Linked DNA regions of Zea mays. The protein of the gene in region 1 interacts with the protein of each later gene in a pairwise test. Links are inferred from orthologs where the notes say so. Each region holds a gene or a part of one and is shown in the gene's direction. Other genes may lie near its edges.

Region 1 (8,973 bases):
CCGTCACACGCACGAACCCGAGGTTGTTGACGACCCAAATTTATTTTATGTATTTTATAAAGTGCTTTCGATTCGATTCATATGTTGTATAGTTTGTTTGTTGTAATATGAACACATGTGATTCCAATTTATGTATTTGTGTGCGCTACGGAATTTGTTAGAAATATGCGATTAGTAGTGCACCGTGTTATTCCATGTTAATCGACGCGTTGATTTTGGTTTAGAGAAATATGACGTAGATTTAATAGTCGTATGTTGGTGATAAAAATACTAGATAAGAATTGATAGTCAATTTTGGTCACGACAAATTCTAGAAACTATCTGGAGAATTATAGGTGCATTTTTGATGGATTAGAAAAAAAATAATATAGAACTCATGTCATATGAATAATATAGGATTTTGGATGATTTATCTATTTATTTTTATTAACATTTTCTTTTTTAGAAAGAAAAAGAGAAAAGATCACCAGTAGTGTGGTAAATAGATTTTTTCTAGTTAAATAATCTTGTTCGCAAATTGAGCACTTAGATTTCTAGACTAAACAAAATATTAGTTTATGTAAAAATATCCTCACTTGTGTATAAAAAGTCCAATTACCAATTTATGTAGATTTTTAGAATATTAATATTATTAAATTCATTTTTGCTATACTAACTAATTTGAGTTAGAAGGAATAAAAGGTATTAATTTACTTATTAGTATTAAAAGATAATATGTATTATTTAATTTCATTGATGGTGTTAAAATAAATTAATATTAGTTAAAATTATATTTATTACACCCACCCCTAAAATCACCATTAGGATTCACATTAATAGCTATAATTGAATTCATAAGTATTTACGCGATTAGTACGTAATTAAAATGTGATTAGTGCGACGTGTTAATGTGCATGAAATGGTTTATGATTATGTAATGGTGCATGTTTATTTATGGGTGTATACTTTATTTTTGTATGTGCGATGTGCGACTATAATAGAAGCGGACTGTGTGGTAGAGAATCCGAACTCGTTCGGGGACGACCCGCAAGACGCTGTTGAGCAAGGCAAGTGGATTCTCCCTCTGCATATTCTGTTTGTACCTATTCATTGCATATAACAACGTTTACTTTTGATATATTGCATAACTTGATGGGTTTACCTAATTAAGGATTTCCTAGATTTACTACCTGTATTCCTTGTTTAACCTGGGGAAATAATTAAGCGTTGCAGAATTTGTGCTACCGCTCAACTTAATGATTTCTTAATGTCACTCATTAATTGGTTTTAATGTTCCAAAGATTTAATTGGCAATTATGACTTTAACCCGATGGTTAAAACGATATTATTTCAAACTAATTGGAACATGGAGTGACCACCCAGGATAACAGTGCAACCACGAGTGCTATCATGGCTCTGGCTTTGGTAAATAGCTCTATATGCTTAGTGCCTAGCAACCTTACCTGAAAGATGGGCAAGAGGGGGAGCGGTAGGTGCTGGCAGCCCACGTTAACATGAGGTCGTATTCTTGGCTAAGGTACTTCACCCAGGGGGCCACCACCATCGTCTTAGAAACCTTAGCGGGTTGCTTCGTATTAAGTGTATTTTGTGAAAACCTCATAATGGATCCCTAGCCATTCACCTCGGCAGTGTCTAAGGGTCCGATCAACCCGGGCTAGATGGGATACATGGCTTGTGGGTAAAGTTGTACCACCTCTGCAGAGTGTAAAACTGATATATCAGCCGTGCTCCCGGTTATGAGCGACCTGGACTCCTCACATGATAATTGAACTTAAAGATGGACATAAATTGAGATCCGATGATCTGCCAATAATTTGCTTAAGTGGTTCCACTTAGGTGTTTTTGTTATATTCATATTCCTTTGTTTAATTTGGATATTTGGGATTCACTCTTATTAGTAAGACATGTGTTGATAATAAAATGTTGACCAACTAAAATGCTTACTGCTCAACCTTAGCCTCACCTTGTTATACCTGCATTAATTTTTCCCCCACTTGCTGAGCCCCGACCATAAGTGAGCTCACCCTTGCTAATATTTTGATCAGAGGGTGATGCTGGAGACTTTGATGGAGAATTTATCGACGAGGAATTCTAAGTCTAACGATGCGCCGGTCAACTTCCTGTGGAAGATTGCCCAGTTGTTTATTTCCGCTTTACTTTGATGTGATACTTGTTCAAGATACAGTATTTCAGATGATGTAATAAAGTATTATACTCTCTTTACGCCTTTATTGCATTGTCTTTTGATATATTACACTTGTGACGTCAACATATGTGTGGAAATGGATCCTGGCACACATATGGTATGCGCTCGGTTCTACCCCCTGGAACCGGGTGTGACAGTCTCCCTCGGCTCCGGCAGCGGCTCTAGTATCTCCATCAACCTCCCGCCGTGCAGGTCCGGACGTGGGCGCCGAAATTGGTTTTCTGGGACAGAACCTTGTGTTCGCTGAGCTGGTCTTCCCACGTAGACAATCTACGTGCTGTGAGTTGTTCGTTGTCTCACTTTTTTTACTGTTTAATTTTGTGCAATCTGCTAGTATTAAATACTTGGGTGTGATTGCACTGTTGTGGACGGATTTGTGTGCTCGATGATGATAGCGGTGTAGTTTGACAACGTGAGAGTCTGGGTTTTAGTGTATTATCATTTTCAGCATTGATATTATTTGTGCCTAATTAAATCTCTCTTTGTTGAGGCTGTTAACCTATGTTAAATTCAGTTATTTTATTTAGTACACAGCTCCTTACTATCAGCATTTATACTTGATTATTAGGCTTATTACATCAGATCTAAAACCCTGATTTGGTAAGATAGGACTGTCACGTTAGTCGAGGATCTCTTTTCACCTTTTAGCGTTGGAGGGCTGTTTATTACAGCAACCAGCTATTTTGAGAGCAATATTTTAAGATAAACAATCATGTTTATTTGTTTAATCTGCCTTCTTCATCTGCAAGCCATGTTTAATTATGAAATGGACATGAGCAGCTATTTTACATGTTTACATGTTCTAGAATTGCTACTATTCATTGCTGCAATAATTACATATGGCATTTATCCGAGTTATATGCTTGTTTTATTCGGAATTAGAATATTTAATTTATTTAAATATAAAGGAAGCATGTCACTTGTTTCTCTAATATTACAACAGTGTTTGGTTAGAAATAATTGGAAAGAAGTTATCCACGTATCCGAACCATAATTAGGCTATTTTTCTTTTAGTGCTCTCAAAACTTTTCCTCTCGCCTTTCTCTCTTTCTCATTTTAGTGATATCTTGTTGTGTTTTAATTCTAGTCTACCACAACTTATTTGGACTAAAAGGCTATGATGATATTCACGTTTATCGTTCAACATATGATATACTTTAAGTATGATTTTGAAATTTCCATTTTAGTACTATTATTAATTTTGTTAGTGATATCGTCTAGCCTACTATATATTTTAAATATAGCTTTCAATTTTTAATTTTCGTATCAAACTTAATTTTAAAAAGTTAAACAGATTATATATTGCCTTTCCACGAGTGGGTGGTGGCTGGTTGCCCCGGCACCACAGACACAGAACCCGCACCGAGCTACAGGATTCCTGGCCGAAACATATGATATACTTTAAGTATGATTTTGAAATTTCCATTTTAGTACTATTATTAATTTTGTTAGTGATATCGTCTAGCCTACTATATATTTTAAATATAGCTTTCAATTTTTAATTTTCGTATCAAACTTAATTTTAAAAAGTTAAACGGATTATATATTGCCTTTCCACGAGTGGGTGGTGGCTGGTTGCCCCGGCACCACAGACACAGAACCCGCACCGAGCTACAGGATTCCTGGCCGAAACAAGCGGCCAGGGTTGCAACAGGCTGCCACGCGCGAAAGAAAGCAAAAAGCAGAGCTCGTTTCCCCACCCATGAGCGACTGCCGAGCCGACTACTCGACTTCCTCCTCGCCCTTCCTTCCACCGCTTCCCTCCCTTCCCTTCCATCCAGCACGCCACGCTCGCCCGCAAGTCGCAACTCGCAAGGGGTAGCGCAGAGGCGGGTCGGACGGAGAGAGAGAGAGAGAGAGAGAGAGAGAGAGAGAGAGAGAGAGAGAGAGAGAGAGAGAGAGAGAGAGAGAGAGAGAGAGAGAGAGAGAGAGAGAGAGAGAGAGAGAGAGAGAGAGAGAGAGAGAGAGAGAGAGAGAGAGAGAGAGAGAGAGAGAGAGAGAGAGAGAGAGAGAGAGAGAGAGAGAGAGAGAGAGAGAGAGAGAGAGAGAGAGAGAGAGAGAGAGAGAGAGAGAGAGAGAGAGAGAGAGAGAGAGAGAGAGAGAGAGAGAGAGAGAGAGAGAGAGAGAGAGAGAGAGAGAGAGAGAGAGAGAGAGAGAGAGAGAGAGAGAGAGAGAGAGAGAGAGAGAGAGAGAGAGAGAGAGAGAGAGAGAGAGAGAGAGAGAGAGAGAGAGAGAGAGAGAGAGAGAGAGAGAGAGAGAGAGAGAGAGAGAGAGAGAGAGAGAGAGAGAGAGAGAGAGAGAGAGAGAGAGAGAGAGAGAGAGAGAGAGAGAGAGAGAGAGAGAGAGAGAGAGAGAGAGAGAGAGAGAGAGAGAGAGAGAGAGAGAGAGAGAGAGAGAGAGAGAGAGAGAGAGAGAGAGAGAGAGAGAGAGAGAGAGAGAGAGAGAGAGAGAGAGAGAGAGAGAGAGAGAGAGAGAGAGAGAGAGAGAGAGAGAGAGAGAGCCTAGTCGACTTTCCGTTTCGGGAAATTCCCGTGCCGCTGCTCGCCGCGGCGAGTGTCGCCCTTTGGATCGGGCGAATCATCCTGACCCGCGCCCCGGAACCGCAGCCAATCGGTCGCGGGAGGGGGGGCTCGTGGCGGCGCTGCGCGCGAGGATGCGCCGCGCGGGCGGCTCGCTTCTGCTGGCCTGCTGCGCCCGCGCGCGCGCGCCCGCCGCGAGGTACGAGCGCATGACTCCCCGCCGCTGAACTGAATCGGTCCTGGGCTGGTTTTCGGCTTTTGCGCGACTGGGCCCGTGCGCCGTGACCTTATTGCGCGGGCGCCGCGCGGTTTGCGCAGGGTAGGTTTGGTGCGATGGAAGGGGCGGCGGCGGCGGAGGTGGGCGGCGGCGGCGAGGATGTGCAGATCAAGGGCGCCAAGGAGAGTGGGCAGCCCGCGGCGGCGGCGCAGCAGCCGCCGCCGCTGCCGTCCGGCAGCGAGGCGCTGGAGATGCCGGCCACGCCGCTTCCGCGGGACATGGACTGGTCCGAGCACTTCTCCTTCTTCACCTCGCCGGGCGGGTTCGCGGGCAGCTCGGACGGCGCGAGGGGCCTCGCCAGCGTCGGCCTGTCCAACTCCGAGTCCAGGCCGGACAGCGTGACGCAGCGCGGCGTGGACCACGGCGCGGAAGAGAGGGTGGAGGAGCTCACATTGAAGAACTGCATTAGCGCTGATGCTGCCCAGCCCGAAGCCTCTGCTGGTGGGAGCACGAGCGGTGGGGATAGGCCTGCTGTTATTAAGGGCCTGTGGGGTAACTTCACACGGATGGCCCGGAGAACCAGCTATTTGGCCAGCAGGGAAAACGCCGCACTGAGCTATGGCGACATTGCAAGCTCGAGGGCTGGTGATGCTTCTAGCAGGGAAAATCTGGCGACGAGCCTTGCCAACAATATCATCTCAAGGAACAACGATGTGTCTGGCAATGAGGCACCTACGAGTCGTGTCGGATATGTGAATAATGAGTTCAAGACGCCATTTCACAGCCAGCAGATTCTCTTGTCCCCTTGGTCTAATCAGGACAACGCTCTTAAAGTAAGCAGCTTCTCGAATAGGATTCTTGATCAGATGAGAAGTAAGACTGTGGCACCCCCATCTGGGGTTCTAGGGTCACCGCTTAAAAGCAAATCAAAAGGTAAAGGGGTTGCATACCAACGTGCACGGGAGGAGATCCGAGTGCAAGCTAATGCAAGACCCAGAGACCCTCTGGACAAGATCCCGACAATTCCTACCTCAATTCATGATTCTGTGGCCAGAGTGGACATGCTTTTCAGTACTAGTGGAGATGTTTCAAAATCCCACTCTGAGGGAACTAGCCTGAGGGAACTGATTAAGCCTGGGCGGCAAACGATGTCCAAGTTTGAGAAATTGCATTTGTTTAAGCAGATCCTTGATCTTGTGGATAACTGTCATGCACAGGGTTTTACTTTACAACATTTGCGACCATCATATTTTACGATCCTATCTTCAAATCAAGTTAAATATATCGGTTCTTATACCACACAAGATTTGCCAACATCAATCAAACAAGAGTTTGCTAGAGAAGATCTTGTGAGTAGAAAAAGAGCTTTTGGCCATAGAATTGATTACCAAGACTCTAATGGCCATGGAAATTTGATGCTGAAGCATCAAAAGGTTGGTGAGCAAGGCTTAGTTGCTGTCAGGCGGCTGGCAAATACATTTTTGACTGACAAAATACGCGACAATCAAATTGAAGATAACGATCCAGGTATTTCAAGGCAAGAAAATTTTAGTTACACTACCAGAGAACATTTTAAGTTCGTCGAATCATATGGCAGCAATATGTCCAGTGCTCAGCATGTATCTAGTTCTGGAACCCAACAACCAGCATTTGAATTGAGGAATATTGAGGAAAGCTGGTACAAAAGCCCAGAGGAGCTCAGTCAATTTAAAGGCACACCCCCATCAAACATCTATAGCCTTGGGGTTCTTCTATTTGAGGTATATCCAGTACTTAAGTGCCATTTTTTTGCAGCAGTATCCATAATTGGATTTTGTAGAAGTGATGTGACATTGTGCAATTGCAATTTGTAGTTTTGCGGGGTGGTATATTACTATCATTTACTAGCAAATTCAAGTGGTTTACCTAAAATCTCTGAGCTGTTGGACTTCTGACATGCATAAGCATAACATGGTGTTTCCCACGTCCCACCACATTTTAAACACGAAAGATTAACATATCAGGAAAATAAAAAATGACACAGATAATCACATTAATTTTGAGATATTTATGGTCCTTTCACAATGATCTCCATTGCCAATGAAAGAATATGATAGGCATTCTGTTTTTTTGGTGCATCAGCTTTTGGAATGCTGAAAGCACTTCACTATGCAGCATATTTGCATGACACATGCACCTTATAGTGAATCTGGTTGTGGTTTCCAATTGCTATTGAGGTTCAAGACCATGGAATTACAGGTCTACGCTTGCCTTGGTTACATGTGGATGCTGACTAATGCCCTTGTTCTTACTATATCCAATTCTTATGTAGTCTCTTGTTATTATATATGAGAATTGCAGTTGTTCCACTAGCACCATGCTTGCACAGATTTAATTGCTTACTAATTGAAACCACACTTGCAGTTGGACTTCTCTACTTTCTGTGTGATTCTGTAGACTATTTTTTTTTCTGACTGAAATGTAAGATTCTATCTTAAGTCTGGCAGGCAAGGTATTTAATTAACCTAATATTTTTGTCAGCTCTTTTGCTGTTCTGAGACATGGGAGATGCACTGTGCTGCAATGTCAAATCTTCGCCAACGCATCCTTCCTCCAAATTTTCTTTCAGAAAGTCCCAAGGAGGCTGGCTTCTGCCTTTGGTTACTGCATCCAGATCCTTGTTCAAGACCAAAAGCAAAGTCAGTTTATTTATCTCTCTCATTTGGAGACATAATAAGAAAAATGTTTACTGATTAGTACATTACTTTGATATAAGTAAAGGCCAATCTTCTTCGCTTTGGTGAATTTTGTATGTTACAGTTAAGTTTAGTTAACTCTTTGTATAAGGATTACTTCTGCCATTCATTGCATGTGGAAATATGTTAGATATGGTTAATGTTATCCCTTTCGTGCCCTTCTACTTGATGTTTCTTTGCTGTTTAAAGACTGGAAATAATAATTATATTGCTGTTCGTGCCTAATAGCCAGCATACTGTTTTTTCAGAGAGATTCTTGGATGTGACTTGATAAATGAGGGTCGGGATTTGTCCTTGTTAGATAAGTCACCAGTTTCCATCAGTGAAGATGACACTGAATCTAGTTTGCTACTTAACTTCCTTTCTCAATTGAAAGAAGAAAAGGAGATGCAGGCTGCCAAGTTATCGGCAGAGCTTGGAAGCTTACAAACAGATATCACAGAGATTGACAGAAGACACTCAGCAGGAATGAGATTGAGTTTAGAGGATATGGATGTACTGCCAAGTTCTAGTTTGCCAGGAGCTTCTGTGAGTGCCCTACAGGGTGCATTGCTGTCAGGTTTGCTACCGGCATCGTGCAAGTCGAGCATATATGAGGAGAGGGTAATGAGGAATTTGGTGCAGCTTGAAAATGCTTACTACTCCATGAGGTCCTCTGTGGACACCTGTGAAACTAATGTAATCAAACGTCCAGATAACGAGGCTTTGAGGGTCCGTGAAAATTTCCATCAGCGTCACAGTGATTCTGATGCAAAGGGAGAGAAAACAGACCGTCTTGGATGCTTTTTTGATGGTTTATGCAAATATGCCCGGCACAATAGGTTTGAAGTACGAGGAATTTTGAAGAATGCAGATGTACTTAGCTCTCCAAATGTCATCTGTTCATTGAGTTTTGATAGGGATGAAGAATATTTTGCTGCTGCTGGAGTTTCAAAGAAAATAAAAATATTTGAATTTGATGCACTCTTAAATGATCGTGTTGATATTCATTACCCACTGGTAGAAATGCCTAGCAAGTCCAAGCTGAGCTGTGTCTGTTGGAACAGCTATATAAAGAACTACCTGGCATCAACAGACTATGATGGTACTGTTCAGGTATGTATCTAACTGTTTGTAATTTTCAAAATACTCATTCATCTTATCATCCATGAACAAGGTGGCATATTTTTCACCCCTTGCTTGTAGTTTTTCTATATTTATTTTATTCTGATGGCAACATTTATCCGGTTCAGATGGACTTGATCTTATATAATTTGGTGCTGCTGCTTTTGTAATGCACCAAAATATGTTGACTGG
Region 2 (7,508 bases), on another chromosome or scaffold:
TGTGACCATATGGGTGAATTGCTGGACACGGTCTTAGTGATTGCTTCTCTACTATTTGGATTTAATGCTTCTCCAATCAATAAATCATCATATTTCTGCTTTAACTTTAATATTTTGGTATAAAATTCAGGTCTAGCAAATGTTCGCTGTTGTTCGATTGATGATCTAGGTCTTGAATCTAGTAAGGATGTGGAATCAAGCAATGCTTTGCTAAGCAGGGCCTGGTCTCCTGGCTGGCGCAATGCAGAGAACATGCTTGAGGAATTTGTGTCTTATGGTCTTCTAGAATATTCAGAACATGGTATGAAGGTTGGGGGAAGTACTACGTCATTATTGTCACCGTATCTCCATTTCGGGGAGTTGAGTGTAAGGATGATTTATCAACTTGTTAAAATGCGTCAAGTCAAGTGGCAAAATGAAGGAAAATCTGAAGCTGAGGAGAGTGTTCGATTGTTCCTACGATCAATTGGTTTTCGAGAATATTCACGGTACTTATGCTTTAACTACCCATTCACACATGAGAGATCATTTTTAGGTAACTTGAAGCATTATCCTTGGCTATTGGATGAGGGCCGTTTCAAATCTTGGAGACAGGGAATGACTGGATACCCATTAGTAGATGCTGGCATGAGGGAACTCTGGGCTACTGGTTGGACACATAATCGGATAAGAGTGATTGTCTCAAGTTTCGCTGTAAAATTTCTACAGATACCCTGGATTTGGGGAATGAAGTACTTTTGGGATGTGCTTCTGGATGCAGACCTAGAAAGTGATATTCTTGGTTGGCAGTACATATCTGGGAGTTTGCCTGATGGACATGAGCTCAGTCGTCTTGATAATCCAGAGGTATGGAATTGTAAGAACAATGCATTTTAGCTCAAAATCTCCCTTGAACTATTAGTTGATGTAAACCTCTGTGAACTCAGATTCACTGCTGTTATTTGATTACACAAGCACACATAAGGACTCGAGTGTTTATGTTATGGTCGCTAGATCGATGAGGGACTGGAGAAGGGTATCGATGGGCAGGAACGTCGGCCGGGGGCCTCTGCCCACGGCCGAGCAAGATGAGGGTTTCTCCCTTCTAATTCTTGCCTACTTTATTTCTCATCCATTGATTACATAAATAGGCCAGCTGGCCGCCCCTATCTAGCTAGGGATCCTTATCTCCTTAAAACTCTCCTAAAAACTCTCAACAAACTAACTGATAACCTTCCTAGATAATCTCAACTAATCTCCTAAATAATCTCAACTAATTTTCTAATCTTATCTCTAACTATCCTTATCTAATCTCCCTTGGAGGGCCCATGGTTGTTGCTACCGCAGCCCCTCCATGGGCCTCCTTAGGCCCTGACACTACACCCCTCCTGGACAAGCAGCTCGTCCTCGAGCTGCAGCATGACGGGTGCTCAAAGACCGAGTCTACTTGACCCAAAACCAGACACCTAGAAGACAAACCTTTTACATCTCGGCTTATCTTATTATTCCGAATCTGTTTTTTTTACGCCATAAGATAAGGCGGACACCCTCCGCGCATTGGACTTGCACGTGTGCAGCCACCTGGATCCCATGGACGCCATCTAGACGAAAGGGGAGCACATGGACGGGCACCTGGAATAGGTCGCAACAATAACCAGCGGAGGCGCCCTCGTGGCGGCCGATAGCGGAATGTGGTGGCGCTAAATAGTGCGCCCTTGCCGATGACGAGGGGAGTGCCTTCCTTACCGTCGCTGCCGTAGAGTTGAAGTTCGTCGCCCGCGGGACACATACCATGCTCGCACTTGGAGATAGCGGCCCGGAGTCGTTGCTGACGGCCGTCCGATAGGGCGAGGTCACGCCCCTGTGTGCCGAGGTCAACCGTCACCAAGGCTGCCTCGAGCATCTGTCGGCGCATCTCCCGCACTCTCCGTCGTGCAAGGAAGCCACGAGCAGCAGCTTGTATGCCCACAGCCGCCGACGTCTGGAGCTGTGCGGACAACACCAGCTGGTGCTGCTCATGTTGCACTGCTACCTTGATTTGCAGCAGCCCTTACTCAACCTTCTGGAGCGTGGCTTGCATCTTTGTTAGATCAGCCCTTATGTTGGTCCACAAGTCTCCCATCGATGAAGCTGATGATTGCTGAGCCGTGGCTGCCCCTAGTGGCGTCACCCATGGGGACGGAGACGCCGTCAACGAAGATGATGTGACGAAATTTGGCGTTGTCCCTGGAGATGGGCACGCCGGCGTCCAGGATGTGGTGACAAAATTGGCAGGCGATGCTGCCCATGGAGATGGGGACACCGGTTGCCAGGATGGTGTGACGAAGGTGGCATACGGCACAGCCCATGGAGATGGGGACGTTGGTTGCCAGGACGGCGTGACGAAGGTGACATACGACGCGGTCCATGGAGATGGGGACGCCGGTTGCCAGGATGACGCCGCGAAATTGGCAGCAGAAGCCATGGGATCAGATCGAAACCCAAGCTAGCCGATATCAGATGTTATGGCCGCTAGATCGATGAGGGACTGGAGAAGGGTATCGATGGGCAGGAACGTCGGCCGGGGGCCTCTGCCCACGGCCGAGCAAGATGAGGGTTTCTCCCTTCTAATTCTTGCCTACTTTATTTCTCATCCATTGATTACATAAATAGGCCAGCTGGCCGCCCCTATCTAGCTAGGGATCCTTATCTCCTTAAAACTCTCCTAAAAACTCTCAACAAACTAACTGATAACCTTCCTAGATAATCTCAACTAATCTCCTAAATAATCTCAACTAATCTTCTAATCTTATCTCTAACTATCCTTATCTAATCTCCCTTGGAGGGCCCATGGTTGTTGCTACCGCAGCCCCTCTATGGGCCTCCTTAGGCCCTGACAGTTTAGCGCTGCAAAGATGCAGCTTTTGTGTTTAGCTGCCTGTTATTTATAACTGAAATGTTTACAAGAAAGAGTCATGCTCAAGTAAATAACAGCTGCATGTAGTGGCTCCTAGAAACTATAGCTCACAAATGAGGCAACTGACCCACTAACTAATAACTACCCTTATGCCTGGAAGCCAGGCCAACACTAACTCTGAACATAAGACTCGACACTAAGCTACAGGTTGACACTAAGTTGTCACAAACTGTAGGATTACACAAGTTTATCAGGAACTTCAGTTATGACATAATTCATAGATTTACCTTGTGTGATGATTGCTGGCACTACTCTTTTTCTGAGAAAACATGCTGACACTATAGATTCTTACTCAATATTGTTCATTTGTTAACGAAAGGATGCTCAATAGAAACAGCATAACTATTTTCTGCAGAGCTTGATGAATTCTAAAAGAAGTGTAATTGGTAGTTAATGCTAAATCAAGGCAGTTGCAGGTTAGCCTCGTCTGTTGTATTTATTAGTAGACAGGGGTTTTCATCCTAGCTGCCTAATTCTTAAAAGGGAAAACAATTGGCGCTGTCCACTTTGTATTTTTTAGTGAAAAGCGTAATTACCTTGGTCGCCTTAAATTAAATATATTGCTTCTTGTAGGTTATTAATCTGACAGGATGGGTTGCCCCTCGGACATGTGTGAGATTGATATGGCTACATTTTTTCCATTTTGTCGTCCACATATTTTTTTTACAGTCACCAACTCCCTCCAGTCTAAAATACTTCCTACCTTTGGCTTTGCATAGTCTTTAATGCTTATCTTTGACCACTAGTTTATAGAATATATTGCTAAGATCCTTGAAATTAAGATGATTGCAAATCATTATGAATACAATTCTAGATATATAACTTACCTGTTTCTATACTAAGTAATAAATTATTATTGATGTTTGTATTTTTTATGGTTTGACAAAAAGTTGTCCTACGTCATGTTTTTTGTGACTGGAGTGCCAGTTTTATTATTGGTAAACTCTTTGTTCTGGAGGACCAATTTATTTATAAAAAAAGAGGTTCTGACTTGCATTTTGTTGTATGTGAAAGTAGGTTCAGGGTCAAAAGTACGATCCGGACGGTGAATATGTAAGAACTTGGATTCCTGAACTTGCTAGAATGCCAACAGAATGGATCCATAGTCCATGGGCTGCGCCAAACTCTATATTACAAGTTGCTGGAGTTGAGCTGGGCTTTAACTACCCAAAGCCCATAGTAGAACTTCATATGGCGCGGGAATGTTTAGATGACGCCATCTCCACAATGTGGCAATTGGACACAGCTGCAAAACTTGCTGAACTAGATGGTGAAGTTGTTGACGACAATCTGAATAATATCAGGAATTTTGATATCCCAAAGGTGGTTTTGAACAAGAAATTATCACCAAGCACTTCATCCATGGAGCACAGGGTGTTGTCTACTAATGGCAAGGACGAAAAGTCGCAGCCTACTGAAGTGAAGGCCCTGTACAAACAGATTATTCGAGATGATATGATGAATGACTCAAACATGGATGACACATGCTCTACTGCTAACTTGAAAGTGACAAGGAAAAGATCTAGCAGTGATAGTGCGTTCAATGTTCCCTCATGTTCATCCTCATTAGTCATGGAATCACGGATTCATCATAATGAACCTAGTTCTGTTCTGTATTCAGGCTACTTCCAGAAGACAGCAGACAGAGATGGCACTAGTAAGGTACTCCCTCCATTCCAAAATAGTATTCGTTTTAGCTCTTAATTTTTTATATCTATATTTAACAGATGATGATAAATGAAGACACATATATAGAACTACATTAAGTATTGTATAAATCACATAAAAAGACAAAACGAATTTAGAGACCTAGATAACACAACCAAAAAATATAAAAGTATATGGACTAGAAATGTGTATGTTGAGAGTTTAAAGACTGGGATGATACAACATAACAAGTTTAAAGATCTTAGATGTGTACTTTGGGAGTTTAGGTACTGAGATGATACAACACTATAAGTTTAAGTACCGCCAGTGTATATTTATTCTATTCTTATTATAGACATCTGAATAACTCCTTACAGGTTGAAGATAATGACAGTGAAGATAGTGGTACGAGCATCTCTAGGCCATCCAAGAAAGCTGCTTAGCATTAGCGCATTGAAGATGTTGCAAATCTTCAATGAGAAATATTTACCGTCACATGTAATTTAGCTGGTGCGTTTGTAGTGATCATGCAAAAGCTGTTCTGTGAATTATAATTAGTTTTACACGGCCTATCCTTATTCCGATAGAAGGCAATTTTTGTTTGGTGAAAAAACATCGCTCACGGACAGGCCATAGTTTGCTGTCGCTGCTGAACAGCCTAATGCCTGGTGTAAATGACTCATCAACGTTACGACACTATTAGCGCTGGTTGGTTTTGCTATCAATCCGTATTCATGGATTGGGTAAGATTGAGTAGATTTAAATATCAAATAAATCAAAATGTTTTATAATTTTTTTTCAATCTCATTCAATCTACATGGGATAGAAATAACCGAACAAGGTCTAAGGGCGATTCAAATGGTTTCTTCATGACTCGTTTAAGCTCTTAATCAATTTTAGTTCAATAATAAATATAAATAGAGCTTAATACAATCTAATTCTTATATTTTGTAGCGTAAAATGTAGAGCCCAAACTTAATACCACGGCATTTAACCGCTCGATTAAAAAAAGGATAATGGGATCACACATCACATTTGCAATGAAAAACAAGAGTAAAATATACTAGTGGTTCCTAAATTTGTAGCGTTGTATCATCCTGGTCACTAAACTTACAAAGTGTATCTCTATGTTCCTAAACTTATAAAATTGTATCATCCTGATCCCTATGGATAAGCGGTAAACATTTTAGTTGGTCAATATTTTATTAGCAACACATGTCTTACTAATAAGTGTGTATCCCAAATATCCCAATTAATCAAAGGTATAAGATTATATCAATAACACTTAAGTGAAATCACTTAAGCAAACCACTGGTAGATGCTTAGATCACGATTTATTTTCCATCTTTAAGTTCAATTATCATGTGAGGGTCCAGGTTGCTCTTAACCGTGAGCACGGCTGACATATCAATTTTACACTCTGCAGAAGTGCTACAACTTTACCACAAGCCATGTATCCCATCTAGCCTGGTTTGATCGGACCCATAAACACTACCGAGGTGAATGGCTAGGGATCCATTATGAGGCTTTCACAAAATATCCTTAGTACAAAGCCACCCGCTAAGGTTTCCACGTCAGTATTGATGGCCCTCTGGTGAGATAACTTAGCCAAGACTACCACCCATGTTAACATGAGTTGCCACCAAACCACTGCCACCCCCTCTTGCCCATCTTTCAGGTATGGTTGCTAAGTACTAAGTCTATAGAGCTAATTACCAAAGTCAGAGCCATTATAGCACTCGTGGTTGCACTGTTATCCTGGGTGGTCACTCCATGTTCCATTTAACAAAAATGTTCTTGTTTAACCATTGGGTTAACATCATAATAAAACTTCATTTTTAGAACATAGTATCATTAAAAGAGTGACATCATATTTATCAAGTTGAGCAGTAGCAAAAATTGCTAAGCATAGCATTTATCCTAGGGTAATTCAGGGAATAGGGTTGGCAATTCTAGGAAATTATTATTTAGGCAAATCCCATCAAATTATGCAATATATATCCAAAAGTAAACATTATTGTATGCATTATTTCAGTACAAATAGAAATGCAGAGGGAGTATCCACTTGCCTTGCACGAAAGTGTCCTATGGATCATCCTCGAACGAGTTTGGTTCGTCTAGCTCATAGTCAACTTCTAGCATCGATTTGCGTATCGTACATAAAAAAGAATATGTACGCCAAATAAATAAACATACACCATTACATGGGTAATCATTCACCATTACATACACATTCATACATCACACAATTGTACTCATAAATATGTCTACAACGTAAATATTTATTAGTCCACTATATCTTCCATTTCGAGTTATCATCGGTGAAAATATGAGTAGGTGACTATGACACTAGTTTTATCTAGTATGATATAGATAAAAATGCCTTAACAAACTTTACGGAAAATAATTATTTTCTTTATTACTTAATAATAGTCCTTTGGGCTTTATCCTTTCCTTTCTAAATAAAAGTTATATGTATGGCTAAAAATGTTTATTTATAAATCACCTAACATTAATATTCTAAGAATTAATGTAGATTACTAATTAGACTTTGTAACATAATCATGGTTATTATGACATAAATAGATATTTTACTAATTCTAAGTAATTAAGTGCTATACTTATGAATATATTTATCATTACTAGTAAAACCTATATTTTTAATCTGACCAAAAATATGTGGCCTATTATTTATTCCACTTTATTTTATCAATAAAATTATACTTAAATCACTACTATCAAATATCGTTCCATGTGCTAAAGCAAAGTTAATCGTAAATGTTTCTAGTATGTAAATCACCAAATTAGTGAATAGTGACATTATTTTTTTTTGAAATATAAAATAATACACCTGTCCAAACTATTGTTGGAGGGCCTAGTTCAAGATTACACATATACTTTAGGGGTAGCACGTAAGGTTTTTGGA

What was found. The genes of interacting proteins can lie anywhere in the genome.
Region 2: the proteins of protein SUPPRESSOR OF PHYA-105 1 (region 1) and uncharacterized protein LOC100277533 interact in a two-hybrid assay, tested with the Arabidopsis thaliana proteins (4 studies listed by BioGRID, with this or other methods). The link is inferred for Zea mays from reciprocal best matches to the Arabidopsis thaliana genes SPA1 and CRY2.

What each region holds. Positions count from the first base shown.
Region 1 is NC_050103.1:73,509,132-73,518,104, reverse strand, and holds the start of protein SUPPRESSOR OF PHYA-105 1, read left to right. Parts: upstream 1-4,647; 5' UTR 4,648-5,058; coding exon 5,059-6,702; intron 6,703-7,462; coding exon 7,463-7,620; intron 7,621-7,925; coding exon 7,926-8,772; intron 8,773-8,973. UniProt on the Arabidopsis thaliana protein: Controls normal photoperiodic flowering and regulates circadian rhythms. Required for suppression of photomorphogenesis in dark-grown seedlings and for normal elongation growth of adult plants.
Region 2 is NC_050104.1:50,230,907-50,238,414, reverse strand, and holds the end of uncharacterized protein LOC100277533, read left to right. Parts: intron 1-130; coding exon 131-846; intron 847-3,952; coding exon 3,953-4,597; intron 4,598-4,959; coding exon 4,960-5,025; 3' UTR 5,026-5,302; downstream 5,303-7,508.